2 linked regions of the Saccharomyces cerevisiae S288C genome follow. The protein of the gene in region 1 binds, or shares a complex with, the protein of each later gene. Each region holds a gene or a part of one and is shown in the gene's direction. Other genes may lie near its edges.

The links. Proteins that work in one complex are often made in the same cells at the same time.
Region 2: the proteins of CTF19 (region 1) and CHL4 are in contact, whole or in part, in a cryo-EM structure (PDB 6QLE), measured with the Saccharomyces cerevisiae proteins. Residues at the interface, in NP_015307.1 of Saccharomyces cerevisiae: Arg124 (codon at 4,119), Val125 (codon at 4,122), Glu126 (codon at 4,125), Arg127 (codon at 4,128), Ile128 (codon at 4,131), Asn129 (codon at 4,134), Gly130 (codon at 4,137), Leu138 (codon at 4,161), Val139 (codon at 4,164), Thr140 (codon at 4,167), Lys141 (codon at 4,170), Tyr142 (codon at 4,173), Asp143 (codon at 4,176), Thr144 (codon at 4,179), Leu145 (codon at 4,182), Pro146 (codon at 4,185), Leu148 (codon at 4,191), Arg153 (codon at 4,206), Arg172 (codon at 4,263), Arg174 (codon at 4,269), Tyr205 (codon at 4,362), Phe207 (codon at 4,368), Ser210 (codon at 4,377), Thr211 (codon at 4,380), Leu212 (codon at 4,383); in NP_010540.3 of Saccharomyces cerevisiae: Pro269 (codon at 2,406), Trp270 (codon at 2,409), Cys272 (codon at 2,415), Tyr273 (codon at 2,418), Phe278 (codon at 2,433), Glu279 (codon at 2,436), Ser281 (codon at 2,442), Leu283 (codon at 2,448), His284 (codon at 2,451), Asp285 (codon at 2,454), Tyr286 (codon at 2,457), Gln290 (codon at 2,469), Gly291 (codon at 2,472), Leu292 (codon at 2,475), Thr293 (codon at 2,478), Gly294 (codon at 2,481), Lys295 (codon at 2,484), Lys296 (codon at 2,487), Val297 (codon at 2,490), Met298 (codon at 2,493), Val299 (codon at 2,496), Arg300 (codon at 2,499), Phe302 (codon at 2,505), Ile321 (codon at 2,562), Leu324 (codon at 2,571), Lys328 (codon at 2,583), Ile331 (codon at 2,592).

The regions. Positions count from the first base shown.
Region 1 is NC_001148.4:513,902-522,254, forward strand, and holds CTF19 (Ctf19p), read left to right. Parts: upstream 1-3,749; coding exon 3,750-4,859; downstream 4,860-8,353. Other genes in the region: SUMO protease ULP1, read right to left, coding at 1-277; VTC3 (vacuolar transporter chaperone), read right to left, coding at 610-3,117; IRC15 (Irc15p), read right to left, coding at 4,833-6,332; SWI1 (Swi1p), read left to right, coding at 7,113-8,353. UniProt on the Saccharomyces cerevisiae protein: Component of the kinetochore, a multiprotein complex that assembles on centromeric DNA and attaches chromosomes to spindle microtubules, mediating chromosome segregation and sister chromatid segregation during meiosis and mitosis.
Region 2 is NC_001136.10:963,512-969,514, forward strand, and holds CHL4 (Chl4p), read left to right. Parts: upstream 1-1,601; coding exon 1,602-2,978; downstream 2,979-6,003. Other genes in the region: CCR4-NOT core subunit BTT1, read left to right, coding at 1-350; MET32 (Met32p), read right to left, coding at 479-1,054; ubiquitin-protein ligase RMD5, read right to left, coding at 3,046-4,311; CTA1 (catalase A), read right to left, coding at 4,622-6,003. UniProt on the Saccharomyces cerevisiae protein: Component of the kinetochore, a multiprotein complex that assembles on centromeric DNA and attaches chromosomes to spindle microtubules, mediating chromosome segregation and sister chromatid segregation during meiosis and mitosis.

The DNA.
Region 1 (8,353 bases):
TGCCTCCTATAAAACCAGCTTTACTAGCTCTATCTGACCCATCTTTCATTGATTCTTCCATTGATAAAACACGGCGGTCGTTTAAATAATTGAATCTTGACGTATTGGTTCTTTTTTTATAAATACCACTAAAACTGGCTGATCTTCTAGACTCGGAGGGATTGTTCAATACCCGAGGATAACACCTATATGTAGAAATTGGGGAGAATAAAGGGGAGTAAGGGTTCTTTTTATGATACTGTAGTGTGTTCCGGTGCTTATCTACTTCAACTGACATTATTATGATATCCAAAGGTCAGAGGAAGAAGAGGAAAAAAACTGAAACAGAAGTAGATATTGATGAATAATTTTAATTAGCAATATAGATTTGCGGAGCTGAAACGAACGTTTCAGCTATTTTTTGATCTGGGTTTAACTATCACACACATCTTCTCATTATGTGCATTTTGAATTTTGAAAATAAAAAGAGGCGGCGCCGGCACCTGCTGAAAGCTGTTTAATATGATTTAATACGGAAGAGCAAATATGTATAAATAGAGAACAATTAATTAATTATGATAGTAACTGGTACTTGTGTAATATATGTGTATATAAAAAATATACATGTTCTTATTCCCCAACCAAATTGAAGATAAAATCTTGAATTGGTTTTAGTGTACGGGGTAACGAAGGCTGGGAGGAAACGTTTACTAATCCTCTTTCCCTCCTAGCGGCCTCTTTAAAAGCCACACTAAAGTTAACAACCAAGGTAACGATTAATACAACTGCAACCAAAATAGGTCCCACAGGTGCATCCAAATGCTTACCACTTCTACCTTTAATAAGAGTTAATCTTTTTAAGTAGGTTCTATAAGCCCATACTCCGCAAAACAAAGTCAAAAAGAAATATACATAGGCCAACAGATCAGCTAGTTGTGGAAATTCGGCTTTTTGCACTGAATTATAGATAGAAAAGGTCAATACACTCAGCAATGTGGTTACACTTAACCATCTATTGAATGTACGTTCATTGGCGAGCCAAACTTTTGCCTCAACTTTGACAGGACCGGCATTTTTCAAAAGGTGAACTGGTTTTTTAACTCCCGGAGGTAATTGGAAAGAAGAGGCACTGTCTGTATCGTCGGAGTATGGATCATTTCCATTTTCTGAAATATTTTTTCCAGCAAGAATTTTCAAGAAAGCTGCATTCGTTTTGAATTTCTTCCCTTTTTTGACTGCAGATTTCTTGGGCAATGCAGTACCTTCTTCATCTGATGATTCGTGATCTTCTAAATCTGCAATAACGTGGCGAGTATTCTGATCTTTTTGCCCTTGTCTTTCAGTGGTCTTTCCATCTGGTACAGAGATTTTGGATAACCTTCTCATATTATCAAGTTTATCATGAATGCTCTTTTGTTTTTGTAAAGTTTTCTTCTCTTCTTCGTAAGCCTCCTGAGGGTTCTTTCTGATGTCGGTTTCTAAATCGGGCAACCAGAATGGCAAAATGTTGACATATTTATCGTCTTCACCAAACAGTGAAGCCACACCTTGCAAGTACAAAGAAAATTTTGGAACTTCGTTAACTAAATGTGAATTAGTTAAATCTTTAATCCACTCATAATTAGGCATTTGAGAATTATCTTGGTTTATAACCTTAATCTCCATTACAGAATAGGGGAACTTCGAATATTCTCCTGCTCTTAAAAACCTCAATGGGTTGGGAATATTGGAATCAATATCGTCACGGTGCCAATTCTCAGGGTTCCTAATGGGCCTATTTTTGTCCAAAGAATCCTCTCTAATGTACATGATATTGGAATCGATAGTGACTCTAATACTTTGATCTCCAGGAATTTGGAAAGCAGTTCTATTATAGGTAGCTCTCAAAACTGGCTGCAACTTCTCCTCAACAATAAAGTTTTGGATGTTATCAAAGTCTCTAGAAAGTTTTTCCAGTTCCTCCTTTTGAGTACCCCTTTCTCTTAGTTGATTAATTAAATAGTTTTTGTAACTGGGATCATTTTTAAAAATAAAATTGTTGATGAATTTGGCTTTCATTTGCAATCTGATTTCTTCAAAACTTGAATTACCAGTTTCGGTATTTTCTGTAAAAGTTCTCTTTTCCAAAAATATGTCAGGTTTGTCTAGCAGTTTACCGATCCATCTTAATCTCAGCGTAGGTGCACCGCTGATTTTCAACAATCTGTTATTGTACAAATCAAAAAAATCGTTGTCGAAATATAATGTAGTGATTGTTGGATCATATGACTGTGGGAAAATAACGCTCTTTGATTTTCCAATTTCAACATCTTGGTTGCTATTACCATCACTAGAAAGGCTGTTACTCTTTGAACCAATATTCAAGCGCGCTTCAGGTTGTACGCGGACATCTGATTCTAGATTATCGACGAAATCGTCATTTTCATTTGGAACCGACGCATAAACCAAAGCAGGTAGATGCCTTAAGATTCTAGCCTTAACCTCCATTATATTATCATCATGAACCCAAAACTTGTAGCTTTTAAAACTTGCGTCTTCAAGGTTAGAAAAATGTGATAATTTAGAAGTACTTGCTAATGATTTAGACACCGTATTTGGATGATCATAATTTGATCTCAAGAACTCGTACAGATATGAGATCCTATACAACAAGGGAGAATACTCTTCTGAATTGTTGAAAGGAAGTTCTTTCAATCTGACTTGTAAAAGAGACTTTACAGAAGGATAGTTTGGATGTAATTTATCGTGTTTCTTCACAATCTTGATAAACCCAGTAAAATTTAACCTGTCAAAGTTATCCAATCTTTGAGCCTCATCTAGACATTCTTCTAAGGTGTTTTTGAACTGCTCAGAATTTATTTTTTGGATTTTTTCAGCTGATTTAGTGTTTTCCTCTAAATCATCTAATTTTCGCAAGACAGCATTATATTTGGAAATTTGAAATGTGTAAACCTTTTCTAGTTCTTTATCCAAGGCCTCCACAAAATCAGATTCATTCCTTTCGGACCAACTATCCACGGAACTACGGCCATCATGTATGACGCTTTCCTTTAGTAATTTCTTCAACCTTTCATAGTCGATATATGAATCCTTCCAGGGAGGATATACGTCGTTAGCCAGTTTAATACCAAATAGCATTTTCAAACTCTGAAAACCAAGGACAAATTCTGCTGTTCGCTCTAATAGCCAAATGACCTATAGTGATAATAAAAAAAGCGCTAAGGAGGTACTACTTGGATTAGATCACTCTTATGCGTATTATTACCCGCCAATGGGCCCTCTCGATATTGAGAAGATGAAGTAAGTTCGAGAAAAGATGTCTGATGTAAGCCGCTCTCTGGCCTCTATTTAAAAGTTCTTCCTGGATGAAACCCACTCGAAAGTTGGGTGTGTGCGTGTGTGTATGTTTCCACGTTTCTGCCTTGTGCTTTCAAAATCGCATGCACGTGCTTGCGACTGCACTGTGTTGTATTAAGCCACGTGGGCCCTCGCACATTGAAAAAAAGAAAAGCTGTACAGGGAAAAATGTGCCAAGAAGTCCAAATACCAATAGCTGTGCAAGTTACTCATTAACATCCAAACCGTGAAGGTCACGGCATATATACTCTGGCGTTCTACTATGTGGCCGGTAATGTAACCGGTAATGGTGACTATCTAATAGTTGGAGTCCGCCGAAAAATCAGAAACGCGTAATTTAGACTTATATAAACAGCTATATACCTTGGAGCTAGTGTGATCTTGTTGATACTAGGTCGGCAAAGAACGCAAATATGGATTTTACGTCTGATACGACGAATTCGCACGACACATCGAATTCGCATTTAAGTCTGGAAGACGCTGTGGGTACACATCATGCTGGTGAAGCAGATGTAAACATTGATGGGGACGAGAAGCAACAACTATCGCTATTAGATGATGATCAGGTACGCGCACTGAAGCTACAGGAGGAGAAGGATGCGCTGTTGACAAGGAGAAATACTCTTTTACAAGAGATCCAGACGTACCAAAATATCTTGATGAAGGAAAATAACAGTAAGACTAAAAATGGTGATATCCTCCAAAACGATATCACACAGGATTTTCTTAATCTAATCTCGATCTCATCCTCTAATCCTAATTCGGCGATAAGTGACCGCAAGCGGGTCGAGAGGATCAATGGGCTAACTAACTTGCAGAAGGAACTAGTAACAAAATACGACACGTTACCTTTGTTAAATATGAATCTACGGCTAAGTTATTTGAGAGACCACACATACCCGCATCTTCAAGTTTCTGTGCAATCAAGAGACAGAGTACATAACGATGGGATTGAAGTTTTGGTGGTCAATTATAAATTCTGCAGAAACACGATGAATCCTTTTGAAATTCAGTTCAAAATGTTCTATAAATTTGAAGATTCCACACTGCTGAAGTGGGAAATCTTGCGAATTTCCACAAACGTTAGACTGAAGGCCAAGCAATTACTGGCAACACGTAACTTCCAGAAGTGTCTATTAAGCCTTTATGAGTTTGATAAGATCAAGTCCAAAAAAACTGGAATTTTCCAAAATTTGATTAATTTATTGAAAAGGAAAACCAGGTGTTATCTAATGAATAATAGTGACTCATTAATTGTGGAAAGAGTTATTAGAGAAGGAAGACTCACGACGATAAAATTGCAGATAAATTTCATCATTACAATGCCCGGTGAGAGAGGCAAACCTCGTAACTGTTTTCTGCCCATGAGTAAAATTTCAATAGCGCTATGGAAGGGGGGAGAAAGATTTAACCAGATAGATTTGGACGAGATATGCTACGGACTTATCAAGGAATATGGTGTGAAAACCGGGTTAAAGGAGATCTGCAACGTTTGCCTATTCCCGGACATGTACGCCAGGTGATGTTCCATTTGCCATTGCCAACTGGACGGCTTGCTTAAACGATTCCGATAAGCTCGGATGAGGGAACGGTACTTTACAGACATCATGGGCGGTAAGGCCAAGCGACACCGCCATCGATGCTTGCGACAGCAATTCATTTGCATCGTCGTTTATCATATGAACGCCTAGTATTTTCATGTCACGAGAATCTATCAGAACTTTAATGAAAGGAGAAACTGTAGTATTCTCTTCCCGTGGTAATAACGTGTTATATCTAACGTTCTGTGAGAACAAAACCCTGCCTTTTTGATATGGGATGCGAGCCTTTGCCAACCCCTCCTCAGTGTATCCGACCCAGCCAATCTGAGGCTGACAGTACAGCACATTTGGTGGGAAGCCACAATTCGAGGTTCCGTCGGAGCCTGTACAGCCTATTGATTGAATGGCCCTTATAGCTTGTTCTTCCGCTTTCAGCGCCAGCATGGGGCCCAATGTAACGTCTCCTATGGGTTTAATATGAGGGTACTTTAGCAGACTTTGGGTTTGTACGTCAACATTTTCTACAAAATCCCGTTCGTCTAGACCAATGCTGGAAATATCTAAACCTTTTAGCAGGGGACGTCTACCAATAGAAACCATCAAGACGTCGCAATGATGTACATATGTTTTCTTTGACACCTTGTTAAGCAAGGTGATGTTCAGCTGACCGGCAGCATCGGCTTCCGCGAGCTGCACTCTAGTGTCTAAAAGAAAAGCTATACCCTGACACTGCAAGAGGGTCTTCGTGGCAGAAGCCAACTCATTGTCCATATTTTGACAGATCTCGCTTTGAGATTCAACGATAGTAACCCGAGAGCCCAAATTATTGAATATGCATGCGATTTCTAGTCCAATTGTACCTCCTCCCATGATAGTAAAACGTGAAGGTATATAATCCAGTGACAATGCCTTATCAGATGAAATTATCTTGTCATTATCTATTGCAACACCAGGACACTGAATAACCGCAGATCCGGTCGCCACAACAATATATTTCGCCTCTACGATGAACGGTTTCATGCCGCGCTGCGCAATCTCAACGTGGTGAGGATCTTTGAAAGCAGCCGTGCCTTTATACACAGTAACATTATTTTTAGATAGCTCACGTTTATACACATTGCCCAACTCTTCTATATTATGTTTGAGTGCACTCTGGGCCGCCTGCATATCGAATTTTGCAGGAAACAGCCGCGTGCCACGTTGCTCGATAAGTTCTTGCTGTTGTAGCAGCCGATAAAGATAAGACTCATATAACAAGGTCTTGGACGGGACTGCCCCGTCTACAAGGTAGGCGCCCCCCAGCGAGGCACGCTGGTCAACACATGCTGTGAGCAGGCCTGCTTGCGAAGCCTGCATCGCTGCAGTAAAGCCACCAGGCCCGCAACCAATTACCAGGACATCGTAAACTGCCGCAAAATCCTCCATCGTGCTTAATATTTCGTCTTCACCTCCCATTACCAAAAATGCTCACCGTTAATTATATCATACTTCTCTTCTCCTCTCGTAAAATCGTGCGCATGTTAAATAGCCGCCGAAACAGCAGATGCATGCCTGCAGGTCTGGGTGTACCCCCTGCCTGAGTGTTCCACCCAGGCCTCGCCGGAGGAAAATGCCACCGCACTCAAGTTCGCACAGAAACTACCGCATAAATTTATTCTAACCCGGAACTGACGTTTATCGTGATATGAACTTTGGGTATCTCCGATTACGAAACGACGCCACCCCTCCTTCCCCAAAGCACCGAGAAAAGATTTTTTTTAAAACTGAACGCTGATTGACTTTACGTATTATTACCACTATGCATTATTGTTGTTTCTGTTGTGGTTGTTGCCAGTTGTAATCATATTCACATTGCGTTTTAGTCATAACCACCTTCCGGTATTCATCATTCGTATTGAATAACAATATTTATACCGCAAAACACTATACGGCAAGGCAACTGATTACACTTTGTTTACCTTATTTTTTTATTATTTATTTTTCTAGAAAGTATTGTTGTGTGGCTCTATCCTTATTACACCATCTCTGCTTTGGCATTTCGCGTTGTTTCCTCTCACGGATTGCAGATTATTGTTCACCAGGTAATAATCACTGACTGGCGGCTATTTTCCTATTACACTCATTATTCTTAAAATTTTCTTTTTCTATCTCTATTTTCTTTCTTTTCGTGTCTTATAATAATAATAATAATAATAATAATAAAAATAGTAATAATAAAAATAGTAATAAATAAAGATGGATTTCTTTAATTTGAATAATAATAATAATAATAATAATACTACTACTACTACTACTACTACCAATAACAATAATACTAATAATAATAATACTAATAATAATAATAATCCTGCTAATAATACCAATAACAACAATAGCACAGGCCATAGTAGTAATACTAATAACAATACTAATAACAACAATACGAATACCGGAGCCAGTGGTGTAGACGATTTTCAGAATTTTTTCGACCCAAAACCTTTTGACCAGAATTTGGATTCCAACAATAACAACAGTAATAGTAATAACAATGATAACAATAACAGTAACACGGTAGCCTCCAGCACGAACTTTACTTCTCCAACAGCAGTCGTTAATAATGCCGCTCCTGCTAATGTTACCGGTGGAAAAGCTGCTAATTTCATTCAGAACCAGTCTCCCCAATTCAATTCTCCATATGACTCAAACAATTCCAACACAAATTTAAACAGCCTGTCTCCTCAGGCTATTTTAGCCAAGAATTCAATCATTGATTCTTCCAATTTACCTCTTCAAGCTCAACAACAGCTATATGGCGGTAACAATAATAATAATAGCACCGGAATTGCGAACGATAATGTAATAACACCCCATTTTATCACCAATGTTCAATCCATCAGTCAAAATTCCTCATCTTCTACTCCGAACACAAACTCTAACTCTACTCCGAATGCAAATCAACAATTTTTGCCATTCAATAACAGTGCTTCCAATAATGGTAATTTGACGTCTAACCAGCTTATTTCTAATTACGCTGCTTCAAATTCAATGGACAGATCATCCTCTGCAAGCAATGAATTTGTTCCGAACACAAGTGACAACAACAACAACAGTAATAACCATAATATGCGTAATAACAGCAATAATAAAACGAGCAATAACAATAATGTCACTGCCGTGCCTGCTGCAACTCCCGCTAATACCAATAATTCAACTTCAAACGCAAATACAGTGTTCTCTGAAAGAGCTGCAATGTTTGCCGCTTTGCAGCAAAAGCAGCAGCAACGTTTTCAGGCTCTACAGCAGCAGCAGCAGCAGCAACAAAATCAACAACAGCAAAATCAACAACCACAACAGCAACAACAGCAACAACAGAATCCCAAATTTTTGCAGAGTCAACGGCAGCAACAACAAAGATCTATTTTACAAAGTCTGAACCCGGCATTACAAGAGAAAATATCTACTGAATTGAATAACAAACAATATGAACTTTTTATGAA
Region 2 (6,003 bases), on another chromosome or scaffold:
ATAATAACAATGACAAGGATAATACCAAGTTACAAGCTGAACTTCATAAACTGCATCCAATGACCATTGAAAACGTTGCCGAAGCAAATTTTTTCAAAAAGAATGGCAAGGTTTTACATTTTAACAGTGCAGTTGTACAGATTGCCCCTCAATGCAATCTCACAATGATTCATGGCCAACCGAAAGAGAATACACTTAATGGGCTGTATCCGAGCGTAGCCTCTCAATTAGGTAGCCAAGAACTTGAGTATTTGACAGGTTTGGCTCATAACCTAGAAAATGAACAGACGGTGCTCGACCAGCTGGGCGACAGATGCAGCGAGACAAAACAACAAGTGATGAATAGCTGACATAGTTCATAATAATTGCCAGTAAACGTTATAGCTAGTGGCGAATGTCGAAGTGGAAATGCTATCACATTAATGTTGCAGATGAATATATATTTTCTTATTTGAGAAGATACACGCTATTTACTCTTTCAGCCATTACTGCTACCATTGTGGTTGTTATCTTGACGATGAACGATGTTGGATTGCTTGACTTTTTTCAGTAATTCATTGATACCCTCACCACCCGCAGTTAGTAATTTAGTCCTGTTTCTCCTACATGTCAGTGTATCATAATGTCTTTTCAATGCATCTTTCCTTGCAAAACCTTTGCCACATTGAGGACAAATGTTAGGCAATATGGCGAAGTGTGTCTTTTCGTGCCTTCTCAAATCTGATGATCTTGAAAATTCCAACGAACATTTCGCACATTTAAATCTTTTTTCACCAGTACTATTTCTACGATCTTGGGGTTTGCTTTTGCTGGACTTCGGTGGTTTTGGTAATGCGTTTTCCTTTTTAACCTTTATGTTACCGCCTTGACTATTTATATCAACACCATTTTCTGCCGGTATGAGTGCTGGTTTTTTATTTTGTAACCTGTTTTGCCTATTCCTTACCCTTTCTAATAACTCTTTTATTATAGGATCTATGTTATCTATATTTAATGATACATCCACTATTGCTTCTGTAGCCTGTTTGATAAATGCAGCATCCTGATCCTCCATTTGGTACTTTTTTGAAATTTATAATACCTCTTGACTTTTTTCCACTATATTATTAACAAATTCTTGGCATATGACATGAAACCCTATTCAATTATCCAGATGCATACATATATACCATGGATAGATATGTATATCTACTATATCTATATATACCTCGTCAATGTAATGAGGAAAGTTCCGAGGGCGACAAAGAGAACAAATATAGTTTTATTTATAATAATGATACAGAACTCAAGATTATTTCCTGCTTATTTTAAACTAAAAGTATAGCAAGTTCTAACCCACAATCAGGTTCTTTATTATTGTCAAGAAAATATAAACTGTGGCGTACTAAGCGTACTAAGTAAGGGACGAAAAACCATCACAAAATGTCACGTGCATGTTAGTCCAGTCGGGCAATAGATAGGGACTGTAAATTAAAGTTTATATTGAAATAAACAAAGGTAAATGGTAAAAGATTAGAAGCATAGAAAGCATCTGGCGTTATTTTAGCGGGGAAAGATTTTGGTGGATACTATCTTTGACTAGTATATTTGAGTAGCAATTAATGTCTAACGAATTACGGCTTGAAGATAACTATGTACCAACTTCCGACACACTAGTAGTTTTCAAACAATTGATGAAGCTGCCGGTAACGGTATTATATGATCTTACGCTATCATGGTTCGCAAAATTCGGTGGGTCATTTGATGGTGACATATATTTATTGACAGAAACATTAGACTTACTGATTGAGAAAGGCGTGAGGCGAAATGTTATAGTAAATAGGATATTATACGTATACTGGCCGGATGGCCTGAATGTTTTCCAATTAGCAGAAATAGATTGCCATTTAATGATAAGTAAACCAGAGAAATTTAAGTGGCTTCCATCAAAAGCTTTACGGGGAGATGGGAAACCTTACGTAGTAAAGCTCCAACCTGCCAAATTTATAGAAAATTTACAAACAGATCTAGCGAAAATTTACCATTGTCATGTTTACATGTTTAAACATCCCTCTTTGCCAGTGTTAATTACCAGAATACAGCTATTTGACAGCAATAATTTATTTTTGAGTACGCCTAATATAGGGAGTATAAATAAAGAGTCTCTTTACAACAAGTTAGACAAATTCCAAGGGAAACCATTAATATCAAGGAGACCATATTACGTTGCATTCCCGCTAAATTCTCCAATAATTTTCCATTCAGTTGACAAGGATATTTATGCTAGACTAGTTTTGCAGAGCATTAGTCGAACGATATCAGAAAGAGAAACAATCATCTTCAAACCGGTACAGAAAATACCCGTGAAATCAATACATAATATAATGACTTTATTAGGACCTTCGAGATTTGCGGAGTCTATGGGCCCATGGGAATGTTATGCTAGTGCTAACTTTGAACGGTCACCACTACACGACTACAAAAAGCACCAAGGCCTTACTGGTAAAAAGGTAATGGTTAGAGAATTTGATGATTCTTTCTTAAATGACGATGAGAATTTTTACGGAAAAGAAGAACCTGAAATTAGACGACTAAGGTTAGAGAAAAACATGATCAAATTCAAAGGTTCAGCAAACGGCGTAATGGATCAGAAATATAATGATTTGAAAGAATTTAACGAACATGTCCACAATATTAGGAATGGAAAGAAAAATGAAGATTCTGGTGAGCCAGTGTACATTTCTAGATACAGTTCCTTAGTTCCTATTGAAAAAGTTGGATTCACTTTAAAAAACGAAATAAACAGTAGAATAATTACCATAAAATTGAAATTTAATGGTAATGATATTTTTGGGGGATTACACGAACTATGCGATAAAAATTTAATAAATATTGATAAAGTTCCTGGGTGGTTGGCTGGAGAAAATGGATCGTTCTCAGGAACGATAATGAATGGAGATTTTCAGCGAGAGCAGGTTGCTAAAGGTGGTTTACTGTAGAAAACTACTGTGTTCTGTTATCGCTTCCAATAAAAAAAAAAAAAAAAAACCTATGCAAAAATTTCAGTCAAAGCATAACAAAACGAACCTTTTTTGTACTGCTCATTGAAGTATTTACGGGGCAGTATGGGCACTTGAAAGTAATTGTTCCGTTCTTCGATAATCTGTCTAGCGCCTTTTTAGAAATGATGTGATGGCATGCCAGTGAATAAGGAGGATTTTCTGTAGTGGTTTCCTCCTTTAAGACGGGACAGATGAAGATCGGATGGAAATGAGTCAGAAAATCTGGTAACTTGACATCAAATGGCAACTCATCTTTCGTAGTCCAGTCAACGTGCGCTAACTCCCTGATGGTTTTGTATTTGATGAAAAATTGGAAAGAAATTAAACCACTCAATACTATCAAAAACAAGGGAGAGTCAAAGAAAATATGTTTTGCAGCACAATATTCTTTTATAAATAACGACGTGCATTCTTTTAATTCCTTATTTACTTTAGAATCAATATCTTCAATAGGTTGACCTATTAGCGATTTAGTTAATAATGGTACGACGTTTTGCATTAATTCCTTCTCCCTATGTCTAAAGCAATCCAGGGGTGCGTTCTGTGTTATTTGGTAGTACAACTCTACCGGATTTCCATGCTTCACTATCTGCATTGCTGACAAAGTGTATAAATCAAATTTTAGGGACGATAAAGCCGTATGGTTAGATGATAAGCTTTCCATTTCATTGGAGCACCATTTCAGACAGCTTTCTGTGTCACCCTTTTTAAGATCATGTACGATTTGGCCCATCTCAATAAATTCAGTAGATTCTTTATTAGTAATTCCGTAGACATCTTTTAGATACTGGAAAGCCTCATTTTTATTTCCTAATGGCATGTTGTCTATACTATACCTCAAAATATGGTAACCGATGGCTTCATTAACATTTTCCATTGTCTCTTTCGGTAATTTATTGACATATACGCTATCTATATCAAATTCTTTTAATTTGTTCAGCGTGCTTTTGTTGAAGCGATTCGACTGCTGAGAAACGTACTTTATTTGTTTCTTTACTGAATGGTCCCATTGCCTCTGTGACTTGCTTAGCTTCTCAATAATTAGTTCTCTTTTTCTCTTAAACTTTTGTTTCTCCTTATCACTCAGCTTATTATAGACTTCTGGTTTTGATTCCTGAATATGCTTGTTTAAGTGCGCTTTCAACTTCTTTAATTGACTCTTGAATTCATGAGTATGATCAAGACATTTTTGAAGGTTTGTCTCTTCCAGATTGCTGTCGGTATAAAATTTCGCAAACTCTGTCTCAAAGCTATCTAGTAATTCAGACATCGTTTCTTGGTTCCCTACTCAGTGCTGCATCTCTCTTGAAGACACACTTATCTCATACTGAATGTGTTGAACTTTACCCCTAATAATAGAGATTCCTCAGCTTTTTCCCCGGCGCGACGAGCTTTCCTATGTGTGAAATGATAATTTTTTTAACTTTCTAACACGAGAATATGAGCATCACCTATTAGTCGTATAAATAAATAATTCATAACAAAATACATAAATTGTAATAAATAAAATGTGTTAAAAATACACACTATCATAAATAATTGTCGTGGAAACAACGCCACTCATTTGTTACTTGAGCGTTTCAAAATTTGGAGTTACTCGAAAGCTCAGAAGCATGTTTTGCCTCAGCTACTTTTTTAATTGCCTCAGATAGTCCCTTATCAACACGAGCAAACATATCATAAACGCGCTGCTGTATTTGAGGACAGGCGCCTTCTACATGAATGCCGATGTTATATGCCAAGTTCTTTTGCTGTCCAGGTTGTTTACCCAAAACGCGGTAGAGATTTCTTGCTTGCACGAAATCTACATCACCTGGGGATGTTGCCCAATGATAAGGGATAGCTGGCCCATTCCATACCTCTTGGTGTTGTTGAATGGGTCTGTCCTGTTGGATATACGTGTACGATTTATCGTTGGCCAAATATGTAGGTTCTGAGCCGAAGTTGCCGTTAACATTCATCGGTCCATCTCTGATAGCGGGATTGAAAAATTTAGATGCATATGGACAGTTTACGGGTATTTGATGGAAGTTAGGACCTAGCCTGTATCTATGAGCATCCGCATATGAAAACAAACGGGCCTGTAATACTGGATCAGCGCTTGCTTCTTGGTAAGGAACCGTGGTACTGGGGGCGAAGGCAGCTTGTTCCACCTGTGCGAAGAAGTTCAGTGGATTCTCGTTCAAAACAATCTTACCCACACGCCGTAAAGGGAATTGCCCCTGAGGCCATACTTTAGTCAAATCAAAGACTGAAAATGGTAATTTTTTGGCATCGCGTTCGGTCATTGTTTGAATATAAACTGTCCAGGAAGGATAGTTTCCATTCTGAATAGCCTCAAATAAATCCTGCTGGCAGTAATCTGGATTGGATCCCGCAATTTTGGTAGCCTCTTCTATGGTCAAATTCTTTATTCCTTGATCGGTTTTGATATGAACTTGCACATAATGCCAATCTCCGTTTTTATTGGACCATTTATAGGTATGACCAGAATAACCATGCATACTACGGTAGTTGGCAGGGGTACCACGGTCTGAAAAAAGGATCATTACTTGATGAATGGCCACCTGATTTTCAGGAGTGGTGAGGAAATCCCAAAACATGTCAGCATCCCTTAGGTTGGTTTGTGGGTTTCTCTTCTGTGTGTGGATAAAGTGAGGGAACTTGGAAGGGTCTCTGATAAAGAATACCGGTGTATTATTGTAGACCCAATCTAAATTACCTTCTTCAGTGTAGAATTTGGTGGCAAACCCCCTTGGATCACGAACCGTGTCGGCACTACCTTTATCACCACCCACAGTCGAAAATCTTGTTAGACATTTCGTTCTTTTCCCAATTTTACTAAACATAGCAGACCCGCAGATATCAGTAATGTCATCGGTTACTTCAAAATAGCCGAAGGCACCAGAACCATGAGCATGTGGATTCCTTTGAGGAATATTTTCCCTGTTGAAATGAGCCA